Linked DNA regions of Drosophila melanogaster. The protein of the gene in region 2 interacts with the protein of the main gene of each other region in a pairwise test. Each region holds a gene or a part of one and is shown on either strand. Other genes may lie near its edges.

Region 1 (3,801 bases), on a different chromosome or scaffold from region 2:
AGCTAAACATTGAGCAGCTCGGTCCGCTGCTTTTCAAGAGCTTGGAGGAGCACAACGAGGCGCAGTCGCTGTGCATTGCATTGGGCATCTGTGAAAAGTTTGTGGCGCAGCAGGACACGTATTTCCAAGGGCATTTGGCCCACCTCATACCCAGCTGTCTGGAGCTGTCGAAATACAAGGCTCAGCATACCATGGTAAGTTAAACATGCACATATTATTATAAAGATTTGATAGTTAATTGAGGAGGTTTCTTAACTTGTAAAGGAAAATGTCGAACACAAAACTTAAACTCATTTTCTTTCTTATAGCAAGTGCGAATTGCGGCGCTGCAGCTGCTCTACGATGTGACAAAGTATCCTACCTTCGTCCTGTTGCCCCACAAAGTCGATGTTACTCTGGCCCTGGCCGCCGCCTTGGATGATCCCAAGCGTCTGGTGCGGAACACAGCGGTGAAGGCCAGGAATGCGTGGTACCTGGTCGGTGCGCCTAGTCCGAATTAGCAGAGAAACAACTCCGTTCTTGTTAATATTATAATCCAATAAGCACACGCACAAATTCTTCATAATTTTCTTGTTGTTTTTATTAGGGTGCGTTGAAGAATTTTTGATAAAGAATTTGGAAAAAGCAAAATTATAAAGTAAACGCGAAATTGTATGCATTTTATATTACTTAGATACATTTACGAACGTTTATGCGCAAATGTATTAAAGTTTAAGATGTTAAGAAAGAAATGCTTATTTCTTTTCTTAAAGGCACCTTTTTCTGTTTTATGACTTGAGACTCTTACAGTCGGTTACTAAAATTTGTATTTTTAAACTGTACGTGTTTATCAATACCAACTGGTAACCAATCTGAAGTGTCTGTTCAGTATGGGTGTTCGCACTGGGAACGGGCCATAAGAGCGCACTTTTGTGCACGCTGCACCACCTCGGGACATCGACGTCGTCTCATAAAGCGGCAGTCTTGAAAGAATCCCTCGTTTCTGGGAAAGCCGTGCGTGAAGTCCTGGAACGTCAGCAATCCCAGGCCCCAGATCTTGCCGCCTCGAAACTCGCCCTCGTACTTCATTCCATCGGCTCTCCAGAAGATCCCATTACCATGAAACCAGCCCTGATGAAACTCGCCTTCGTATCTGTCTTAAAAATGTGCAAAATGAATCATCATATACAATTTTCTTCACTGGATGCAAACCCTAGGTAAATTATAGCTAAACCATTTCTGATCAAGAATATATATACTAGCATTTCCTCTTACTCCCCGAGTAGTGGCTACAAGAATAGTTTTCAAGTGCTACAATATTTCGTTTAGGTTTACATCACTAATATTATTGAAACTGACTTTGCTCCATCCGCGAACCAGAGGCAGCCCACTCCTTGACTAAGACCCTCCTGGAACTGCCCATCGTAGCGGGTGCCATCGGCGAACTGCAGATGCCCGATGCCGTGCTTTTGGCCACGCTGGTTCCACTCGCCGATGTAGCGACTGGCGTCCTCGTATCGCCATCCGCCCACTTTGACCGCCCCTGCGCTGTACTGGCTTTGACCCTGGCCCTGTTGGTGGTGTCCATGCTGACCCTGCTGGTGGGGGTGCTGTTGGTGCTGGTTCTCGATTCGGGCCGTGGTCACGCCCACGCTGCTCACTGGGTAATGATTTTTACGCAATTTTGTATCTGCATCCTTTTGTCTGTGTTCACTTACTGTCATCATCGTAGTCGTCCATGGCCATTGCTCCGCTACCGCCCGCGATGCGCTTCAAGCTGCTACTGAGCTGGCTGGTTCTGCACCAGAAACACTCATTTTCTATGGCTTCCCACGGTGCGACGGCCCTGGTCTAAATCTAATTAACATATTGCACTTCTACACACTGACAAAGTGTTTGAAAATCAATCATCAAAATCACTGGGTCAAATGTTCCAGTAATTGAAGCAGTTATAAATATTTCTTAACAGCCAATAATACTCTGGCACCCATATTTAATCAAACCATTTTAATCGAATAATTTGAATACATCTCACATAAATTCAACATTTTTCTTGATCCAACCAACCATCAATCTTGACCAACTGTTGCTGCGGCCAGAGCTGTCATGGATTCAATAATAAACCCAACCAGGTTTTAATTCTTGTACAATTTATTGTTATTTTCAATTAAAGCGGAATATGTGGATGCAGACTTTTTCGTGAGATTACAGATGTCTGAAATGATTATACTATATAGGCGAAGCTTTGAAACTCAACGACTCCTTATCGTGACGGTTGAAGAACATGGAAACAGAATTAATTGTACACAAAGTTACTGGCTAAATTATTAACCTAGATATAGTCGTATGCTTGTATATAATTGGACTCAAAGCAAGTCTAGGCCAGCACAGCCGAAGTGGCCATTTCGCTGACGCCGCAAGTGTTGTCACCACGATAAACGCGATAATAGCCCTGCTCTCCCCAGCGCGGACCCCACGAGTTCTTCACAATCCAGTAGGGCAAGGTCTTGTGGAAATTGGGATAGTCGGAGACGCCATACCCCACAACTAGAACACCGTGGTCGAGGTTTTTCTTGGAGCACAGGGCCTTCCACGGATGGGAAACTCCGCCGCGATAGAACTGCATAGCATTCGCATTGATGCCTAGAGAAATGATCTGGTTAAGTGGGCTTTGGGGTTAATTTTCTGCATCGACTTACCGATCGAAATGGGACCATTGGCGAGAAGCCACTCCTGCATGGCGGTCTCATTTCCCTTCGGCAGATCCACGAAGCCGGCAACCTGAACGTGGGACAAAGTCCTGTTGAAGTGGCACTGATTCTTTTTGGCCTTGTATGGGTACTCAGCCTCGTACTCTAGGCCGCCAATATCCTTAATGGCCCTGCGGAGGAATTATTACATAAGTATCTACATCGTAATGTTCATTCCCTCGTAACTTACTTGTAAGCATTGTCCATGAGGCCGCCGTTGCAGGCACTATCCGTGGTATCACAGTCCAGCAGCTCCTGTTCGGAGAACTCTTTCAATTCGCCCGTTTTCACTGCGTACAGGCCTTCGATGTTGCCGGTCACACTGAAGGCCCAGCATGAACCGCAGGATCCCTGATTCTTCACCTGGGTGACAGCATCCTTCTGCCTCCAGTCAAACTCCTTCGGCAGTTCACCATGGTAAGCCGGTACGACAGCCGCCGATCCGCCAGTGGCCTTTGCCTCATCACGCTGCCAGAGTCCCGTGCGTTCCTTGTATTCCGAGCTGGTCATATCAGCAAACTCCGTGATGCCGTACTTGGCGCTGCCCATCTCGTTGGCGTTTAGCTCCTCGATAGTCTTCAGGTTCTGACGGAAAATGCGCAGGCGCATCTGGCGCTCGGCGGTGCTTACGTAGCGACGGCCAAATCGCACCTGGAACTTGTAGAAGAGGTGGTCCACCTTGTCAAAGCGATGGCTGTGCTTCTTGTGCGTCTTCTTCTCGGCCCACTCCACGGATCGCGTGTGTCGGGCCTGGACCACCGGCTGGTTGCGGCACTTAAAGGTGATTTCGTGCTCATCCTTCCTCACCCAGACCTTTGTCCAGATATCCACGATACAGCGGTGCTGCTCCTCCGACCCGTCGATTAGATCCGCATCGATGCGGGTCAAGATGCCTGAATCCACTTGCCGCGAGGCTGAGTATACTTTCACAATTCTAGAGCACAGCAAACGAGCGAGTCAATTATAATGAATCAGACAAATCTACTTAATGCTTATTAATATAATAAAATGAAGAAAATCCTACAAGTTCTTCAAAAGTGTGTACGTTACATTTTTGAATAGTTTCTGAACC
Region 2 (3,989 bases):
TCTTACACTCGATGAAGAAATTGAGATACCAGCGGAAAATAAACAAGACCGTTTTGTCTCCCGGAGGAACCCCAAATGAGGCAGCCAAACTTAATAAATTATATGCAAAACTGCCGCTGGGGAAATGGCAAACCAACAAAGTGTCCAAATGGCAGCGGGAAAGCCAACTTGCAGCAGGGGAAAACAAATGTTGGGCGTTCGAGGAACTCCGTTTTTGAATATTTATGAAAGGACAGTGTGATCCTCTGAGCTGGATACCAGCCGGATCCTGTAGGCCGCACATGCCGTTATGGCCAATTGCGGTCCTTGACTCCTTTGCAAATTTCCTAGGGCCAGAAACCTGATCATCAAGTTGGTAACCAACGCTAGGGTCATGCCAAACGTGTCTTTGCTAAAATGGAATGGTTAATCTGGTCAAGTCTTAAATACCAATGTATCACTATGAGGACTGCTATACCTTTATATTACATATTTTTCAAATAAAATTCAAGTTCTTATGGAACTTATTCAAACATTTGTTCTCAAGCTTTACTTTAGCCTGATCGCAAGCTATTCCAAGTTTGGAAAAAAATTTTGTGCACTCAGCCACTTGATCCTAACCACAGAGACCGACGGACAGTAAGAAAAATGGCGAGGTTGCAGTGCGATGATGGAAAGGATGTGGCGGTGGGGCAGGAAAAGGAGCTGATGGGTATGGATACTTTGAATGCGGGCAAGAGAGAGATGTTCATCGGAACGCATGTTCTTTGAAAATTGCCCATAATTATGCGAACGAACTTCAAACTGATTGTTTCTACCGGCAGCAGCGCAGTCCGAGAAACGAGAATCCAGAGCCGAGGATCGGAACCCATCTCCATCCCATAGCTCCATGGACCATGGACCACGCTGTCCGAAAAACGCGCGTCCGTTGCATGCAACGTGGCAGGGATGGGATGGAATGGGATGGGATGGGATCGAGATCGGGACATGGCCAAGGGTATGGCTGTGTGGAATAGCCCGCTTGGCTGCAGTGAAAGAGAATGACTGTAATTACGCATCACTTTTTCTTAATTTTCATGCTGTGCATCTTGCGGCCCTTCCTCCTCGCAAACGGAGCGGATTGGAGTGGTGGTGAACAACGAGGACGAGGGCCGGAAGGGGTCCTCCATCTTCTCGCTGGGAACAATTTAAGCACTGAACTTGACCCACAAGTCGAGTCTGCTGCTTTTTGTGCGGCAGAGTTTTAGAAAATTGCTCGTTTCGTTGCGTGCATATTTCCCAAAATGCGAGCGGCTTGAAATCATTTTGCGTGTTGTTTTGTCCGCTGTCTGTTTTCTGCTTGTTCCTCCAATGAGAAATCTAATTTAAAAGATACAAATTTTAAATTATGGGGTTTTCTTGGCTACCAAAAATGTTTCGATGTTTTTTCTTCGCTTTACCTTCCTCTTCTTCACATATGATTGCTTCTACGTGCCGAAGACTCGCATTTTGGCATTTTGGATGCGATGGCAGATACGCAATTTCGTTGCGGAAATGCCGAATGTCAAGAGTGGTTGCATAACAGCTTCAAACACAGAAAGGCTAGGAATAATAAGGGTCTCATGACAGAGGGGTATTTTTTACACACAGTATTTATTGGTAACCAGATTCAAATTGAAAACATTCGCGCGCCTTTTTTGCACCCACTCGCGGTATCGATATATCGGTTTGCACACATCACTACTGTGCTAAGGTAAACAACATATAAAATATACATTATATCGAGGTTTGAAAATTCCTTTACTTATTTTGTTACACAATGAAGATTATTCAGTATTTATTTGATTTATTTTAAGTTCTACGTTATGATCTTTGTTCTACCAGTAATAAAATACATTTTACATCGTAATTACGGCAGAAGAACTTAGTACCTTTTCCAGCACTGCAGCCAGAGTTGGTTTCTTAATGGAGTCCGATAGGTTCAATAACACATCCATACATCGATAACAATTTTATTTTTTGTTTTGCTAATGTGATTTACAAAATAGTTGTTTTAATTGAGAATTGTCGGCAGATTATGGAGTTTGATTTGTAAATAGCATGATTTTGATGTAACTTCTGACATGGACACCGCCGGAGACATGGATCACCTGGCCAGTGTGTCCTTCGGCGACTTTGAGACAAAATCCCCAGAGGGCGACGTATCCTGCTATCAGAACTTTCGGGCACAGACGGAACATGTTTCGCTAGACATTTCTCTCGGGCAGAAGTCAGACACTCTATTTGCCGCCGACCAAACGCCCACGCCTACGCGACTCATCAAGAACTGCGACGAGGTGGGTCTCTTCGAGGACCTGCAGCACGTAAATCCATTTGACATTGGATTCCAGCAAGCAGCGGAGCGAAATGTCAGCGGCACTCCGAGTCGCCCAGAGGCTCGACCCAATGACGGTGAGTCCCTGCACACGCCCCAGGTGTATCCCGTCGAGGCCCCCACCGTGGTATCAGTTCCGTCTGAAAATCAGGTCCCACAAAGTGTCAGCTGCGGCGATATGGATGTGGACCAGCTTCTGGCCACGACAGTTACCTCGCCTTCCAAAGCCAGTCAAGATGGTCCGCCGCCGCTGCAGTTGATCCAGCCCCAGGTCCTAACATGGGTGCTGCCTGCGCAGTCAGTTCCCATTTCCATCGCTACAGTTGATTGTAACAGAAACAGGGTGAAGCCGACTGGTGCCATTCATCCCTTCATACTGCCGAAACCCACTGCGAAAGAATTAAACAAGACCAGTAAAAGACCCGAGCCTATTTTGGTCAGTTGCAACCCACCTAATAACGAGCCCAGTAGCGCCAGTCTGACGCCCACCTCACAGCTGCCCATCAAGGAGCGATTGAAGGCCATTATCCACAGCAATAATAACAGACGAAGTTTCTCCACACCGCCCAAGGCTGCGAAAGCAAAGGATCGCAGTCGGGACGAGGATTGTATGGAGCGACGAAGAGCAGCAGCCTCTCGTTACCGTAACAAGATGCGAAACGAGCATAAGGACCTCATCAAACAGAACGCCCAGCTGCAGCAGGAGAATCAAGAACTGCACGAAAGAATTTCCAGATTAGAAAAGGAACTGCAGCAGCACAGGAGTCACAGCAGCTTAGCTGGCGGTAAGCTTTAATAAACCATTCCTGAAGTTAAGTTAATTTATTTTCGTTTATAGTGGTGGCCGACCAGCTGCGGATTCCACCATCCAGTATACACTTGCTCATCAATGTGCCCAACGTGTTAGTGCCTTCGTCCGCCAGCAACGCAAGCGCGGCCAAGAAATAACCAATATGCCTTGTTTATTTATTTTCTAGTGCCATGTACATAATCCTAGCCTTGTAGTTTATTCGTACAAAAAAGCCTCAGTTAAGTTAAATTCCTTCTGTACTCCAATGTTTTGTCTGTGGTTATGATTTCCGTAAACTCTCTCTGTATCTCAAAAATGGAATTCTCGATATCCACCAGCTGGGGACTAAATTGCACAGATGATGTTGCTGGAGTTCGCAGCTGTTCCATGGTCATCTGTTCGGAAGAAAGTAGACTTAGGAGATCACAGAATACAATCTAAAATCTTTTATCACATACATCACGCAAGTTTTTCTGCAGCTGATCACGCTGATAGCAAAGTTTCTGGATTTTGTCGTAATACTTCTGTGCCAGTGGAGCACCCTCCGTATCCGAGTAGTAGCGCTGGGCAAGGAGCTCCATCTCCTGGTTACGAATTTCATCTTCGGCCAGCTGCATTTCTTGGTTGTGACGCCGACGCTCACGCTCAATACTGTGCATCAGCAGGTCCATGTCCTTCTCCATCTCCAGAATTTTGCGTCGCTGCTCAGACTCCTGTAACTTAGTGATGACCTCGCTCTTGCGCCGACGCACCTCCATTTGGTAGGTGAGCAGCATTTTCCGTTGGCAGGTGATGCGCTCTTCCTCGCGATGGATTGTGTCCTGGTAAACTCTCTCCATTTCTTTGAGGCGGCGAGCGTGCTCCTCT
Region 3 (4,992 bases), on a different chromosome or scaffold from region 2:
ACTTGGTCTAAGGTAAAGGAAAAGATAGGCAAACTAATAAAATAACTAAATAAAATAGGCTATATTGGCTATATAGGAAATATATATGGTGTTAACTGTTCCGAAATTTAGTTTACCCCTAAGCTTTTTAAATACTGGGTATAGAAATGAAAAAGCACACAAGAAAAACTGAGCCAAAGTCGGTTTTTCATTTTCGCCTGGTTTTCACTTTGCTCGTCGGTCGTATAAAAATAATTAAATTTTTGCCGCACTTTGTGGCATTTGTTTTGCTTTTTGTTTTCTGTTTTTCTTTTTTTCCAGCGCCACAGTTACAGTGGCCTGGTTTTATATTGCGGCTGACACTGGCCACTATCTATGAGTTAGTTTGGCTCCTAAATTTCACACATAAGTACTTTACACACGAATTTAAATCGGATTTTATCTTTTGCTTTATGGCTACGGTTACATTGTTCATCCCTTTTTTTAATCTTTATTATCTTACTATTGGTTTCCGTCTGGTAGCTAGTACGTCAGACTATATCTTTTTATAGAACATGTCTGAATATAAGTATTCACAAAATGGGGAAGCGTTACTATAACATGAATTAGTATAGACTACTAATCTGCACTATGCAACGTTATTTCGATTAATTCAGGGCTTTTATTTACAAAGTTTATATTTCCAGCTAATTCATTTGTACCTAATTATTATTATTTTTTTGACTTTTGCTCATATTTTAAGCTGTCCTTTTTGCACTACACCTAATAATAGAGAGCTCTTACTGCTGCCCCCTTCGTTTTTTGAAGGCTATCCTTCCTTACAGGGAATTAGCTCCGTAAAAGATTACCGAAAAGCCGAAGTCACGTTGTGTGCGTTTTGTAGGTTTCTGCAAATTGAATTTACCTCCTACATTCGACCCTGCAGCAGACGTAAGTAATTGCTGCAAATGATTGTCAAAAATCAATTAGTTGGTGTGCTGGCTATATATATATTATAGTACAATACCTTACAACATATTTCGCTGGAAATGATAGCCTTTGTGCAAGTGCAATCGAGTAATTGGCGCACAATTCCAGCGATGATATCATTGCCATTGTGCGCCCATTAATGTGCATTAAATCCAATAAAATGGCGTACACATCTGACTCGCTTTTCGGCTGTTTCTATGTATTTATTTATTGTGCTGAACTTTAACTTGATTTGCCTGCTAGTCATTGCCGATCGGATATGGCCATGCCAGCACACTTGGTTGGACATTTTCGTAAATTCGATTCTAGAAATCAAATTACTGCGAAATGGATGCCAGCATTGGTGAAATTCATGCTCGACATGGGCAGGCGCTTAGGGAATTTAGTATTAATTTATAGGCCCATGTACATCACGCATGTGTCACGTTTTAACCTTGACTGATCGCATTTGGTAAATATTTAGTATTCCTGTTTAATCTCCGGCGGACACAGCGATTTGGCTCACGCCCCAACGCCTGATAACCGTGTTACCTCTGGAAAAAATCCACATCACCATTCAATTTTTATCTAAAACCAGTAGCAGCCCGTTTGAGTCAGCGAGCTAAGCGTATTATCGTGGAAATTTACCCTTTTTCTTTTTTAAAGTTGTAAAATCCATTCCAAGGGATATGCATTTTTATATACAGCATCGCGCCAGGCAATAAAGCCACCGACGCGACACGTCCGCGTACAAAGAAAGTAATTTACTATCTGGCAGATCTTGGGCTGGCCAGAGATACACACCATCACACACCGAATGGGGGGTGTGCACATATGTGCGCTTATCTATCCAGATCCGACATGCCCCTGGCAATTTAGGCGATAAAGCTTTACACAAAGCCTCTGCCCACACTCTTACAAGATTTGCGTGAATTACGATCGGCCAATGTGACGATGATGCTGACTTGGATAAGATCTCCGGAGATTTCTAACGCAGCTTGCGGCGGAAAATTAGTTCAGTGCTCGGCGGTGATTTGGATCAAACACTTGTGTGTGCTCTCATCCAAATCGAATTGGAATTGTCCTGAATCCGAAACTCAAGGATCTCGAGAGCGTGTGCGTTATATATCGTCTTAAAAGAGACTTGTTAATATCAAACTATACTTTTAGAAGTGCTTTGCCCGACTTCAATTTCTGATTGCAATTAAAACAATTTTGTATAGCTTTTGATAAAGTACACATTTACATTAATAAGAGCTATTGTGATAGAATCCGTTGACCTTGAATACGTCTGCGACACTTGCGTTCTAAAGATTTAAAAAAATTTCATTTTATTAATAATTTTTTTTTATTTCTCTGTAAAGAAAGCGAGTTTTGATTTTATTTAACATTCAACTATTTTTTAATTACCTTGCGATTGAGAAGCTAGAAACTTTCGAGTGATTATCTTTAAAAAAAGCCCTTTAAGTCGGAAGTGGCCTTCTATTCGTAAAAACGAACCATACTAAACGCAAAGTCGAATTTAATTCACAGTGATTGTGCTCGTGTTAAACTAATGCAAAAGTAATCAAAGCCGGACACATTAAAGTGACGCGGCTGGAAGTCCATAAAAATAAACTACATAAAAGCAACTTGCGGTGCCGGAAATAATGTCAACCACTGCCGATCCCGTGGCGCTGGGGGTAAACTCCCCCGTGGAGGATGTAGTGGCCAAAACCACCACAACGGTGGCCAATGCGATTGCGAAGACAGTGGCCGTAATTAGCAGCACGGTCTCAACTAGCTCCACAACTGGCGCCACTTCCACCATTTCAACGAGTAGTAGCACACCCACTACCTCGACCACTTTCGCCTACACTCCCACGCCCACTCCCACTCAATCAGCATCCCCATCCCTGGAGGATGGTGAGGAGAAACTCAGCGTGAAGGATTTAAGCCAGGCCCTGCAGCATTTCGGTATTGTTGATTACTTGGTCTTCATCGCCATGTTGGCGGTCTGCGCCGTTATCGGCTTCTATTTCGGCTTTATCGAAAAGAAGCAAAAGAAACAGAAGCTGGCCGGCAAGGACGGCGGTGGGGCGGCGGGCGTCGAGGAGAGGCGTGGCTCGGAGGCGCTGGACTACCTGGTGGGCGGACGGCAAATGAAAGTGTTTCCGGTCGCGCTGTCACTTGTGGCCAGGTGAGTTACAGCTTCGGCTGGGGTATATATATGTATATGCAAATGGTAAATTGGCCCGGAGAATTTAATCCTGGCTGGCCAACGGGATGTGCACGGGAAACAATTTGAATACATTTGGCAGGGTTTCAAAAAGAAAATACGGATCTAACTATATTTTGTTAATTTAAATTTAAAAAAATGAGTTCAGCTCCAGGAGAAAAGAAGCTGATCAAAATAAGGATACTTTTTTGCCATTATTTTTCGCTGTGCAGACCTGCCTAATTACTTTTGACACGGCCGCAGAGAAGGTTGAGCATCCTAAATGAAAGTGTGACAGGAAGGAAGCTTGCAAATTTATTGAGCGATCCCGCTTTAAGCCGGCATAATCCGCAAAAATTGAATGCTATGCATTCGCTTGAATGCGGCTAATATTTGCACAAATTATCGTAATGGGCTAAGCCAAGCCCAGGCAGATCAATCAAAATACTTTCAGTCAGTTCGCCTTATTCCATGCCATTGGCCAAACGTGCGTATACGTAATCTAGGCAAAATAGATAATCTGGCCCAGCCCAGCATTGTCTGGCGAATTGTTTGGCAAGGGCAAACAGTGAAGCATTTTATTTAAAAGTTTCCGACTCCGGACAGGGCATTGCGTAAACAATATTCATTGTCAGGGTCAATGGATGATGAGTGCCTTGGTGTTATGTTGGTTGGTTGGATGCCTTTGGTTTGTGCTGATATTGAAATGGCTTGCGGAACTTTGCGAGTAAATATATCTGGCATATAAATACAACTTAGCAGCTCACTGTGTCTAAGCCGGATTGAAGTTATTTAAACTTGTGCTCGGCCGCAAACTCAAATAATTTGCCCAAATTACTTTTTCTTTTGCTGTTCGGACGGCCAAGTGACCTTGGTCCTGCGGAGTGGGGTGCCTTGTATTTGACACATTTTGGTCAAGCACCTTTCGAAGGGTGCGGTCCCTTTGTCTTAGCCGTGTGCTCGACGCATTAATGACCAGGCCGACAGGTCCTGTTCCCCGAAATCCTGGCCGTGCTCTTGGTCATTTGCCTTGCCCAATGACAATTGTTTCGTGAGCCTTTTATTGTTATGGCATTCTATTTGTTGTCGTTTGCTTTTTGCAACAAATTCAGCCAACGTGCCTTGAATTACAATTACATGGCATAATTTTTTTTCTTTCTATAAAACGCCCTTTGTTCCTTGCTGATTTTTTCAATTTTTTGTAAAACAAATTGTTTTGTTGTGTGTGTGTCTGCATACTTTAACGTCGCTTGTTATCAACTTTTAATGGCATTTTTCTCTCGGCCGTCAACTTTCTGTACCGATGGTGGCAATTCATTTTGTTTTGCGGCCAAAATTGAAATGATGATTGTTATGGACATTAATCATTAAAATCAGATTACCAAATGCAGGGCAAGGAAAAAGTTTTCTCCGCCAAATGCGACTAGACATCATTTGTTTCGGATTGGATTAAATTCATAGCAGCAGCACACATGCTTAATATATAATACCAAAATATTATCTTTACCATTCATAGCAAACAAACTTTTAAGATTCAATATGGTGCCATAATGCCCTTAACCTTCGCCAATCGATTACGTTAAATTTATTTTACAAAAGTTGGCCTACCTTCGTTATAACTTTGACCAACGACTAAGTGACCATAACTTAATTGAATTAAAAAATTTTGTTCAAGTTTGCTTTGCGGGATGGCAAAGATGAAAAAAAAAAACTTTGGCGGGGCGAAAATAGATCTTGATCAATCGACTGGCAATTAGCTGAACTTTAAGCTTAAGACATAATTAGCGTGAACTAATTGTTGGTATTTCACTTTTAGCTTCGTGTCTGGAATCTCGCTTCTGGGAACATCAACGGAAATCTATGTATAT

The links. Proteins that work in one complex are often made in the same cells at the same time.
Region 1: the proteins of Atf-2 (region 2) and rtp interact in a two-hybrid assay, tested with the Drosophila melanogaster proteins (one large-scale study listed by BioGRID).
Region 3: the proteins of Atf-2 (region 2) and kumpel interact in a two-hybrid assay, tested with the Drosophila melanogaster proteins (one large-scale study listed by BioGRID).

Annotation. Positions count from the first base shown.
Region 1 is NT_033777.3:5,235,535-5,239,335, forward strand, and holds rtp (retinophilin), read right to left. Parts: upstream 1,782-3,801; 5' UTR 1,726-1,781; coding exon 1,698-1,725; intron 1,640-1,697; coding exon 1,339-1,639; intron 1,133-1,338; coding exon 865-1,132; 3' UTR 558-864; downstream 1-557. Other genes in the region: Mms19, read left to right, coding at 1-194, 309-500; CtsF (cathepsin F), read right to left, coding at 2,357-2,622, 2,679-2,860, 2,920-3,663. UniProt on the Drosophila melanogaster protein: Plays a role in promoting axonal degeneration following neuronal injury by toxic insult or trauma.
Region 2 is NT_033778.4:24,868,129-24,872,117, forward strand, and holds Atf-2 (activating transcription factor-2), read left to right. Parts: upstream 1-1,979; 5' UTR 1,980-2,081; coding exon 2,082-3,117; intron 3,118-3,170; coding exon 3,171-3,280; 3' UTR 3,281-3,361; downstream 3,362-3,989. Other genes in the region: CG16896 (uncharacterized protein), read right to left, coding at 3,362-3,517, 3,581-3,989.
Region 3 is NT_033777.3:25,905,087-25,910,078, forward strand, and holds the start of kumpel (kin of rumpel), read left to right. Parts: upstream 1-1,935; 5' UTR 1,936-2,043; intron 2,044-2,460; 5' UTR 2,461-2,576; coding exon 2,577-3,106; intron 3,107-4,940; coding exon 4,941-4,992.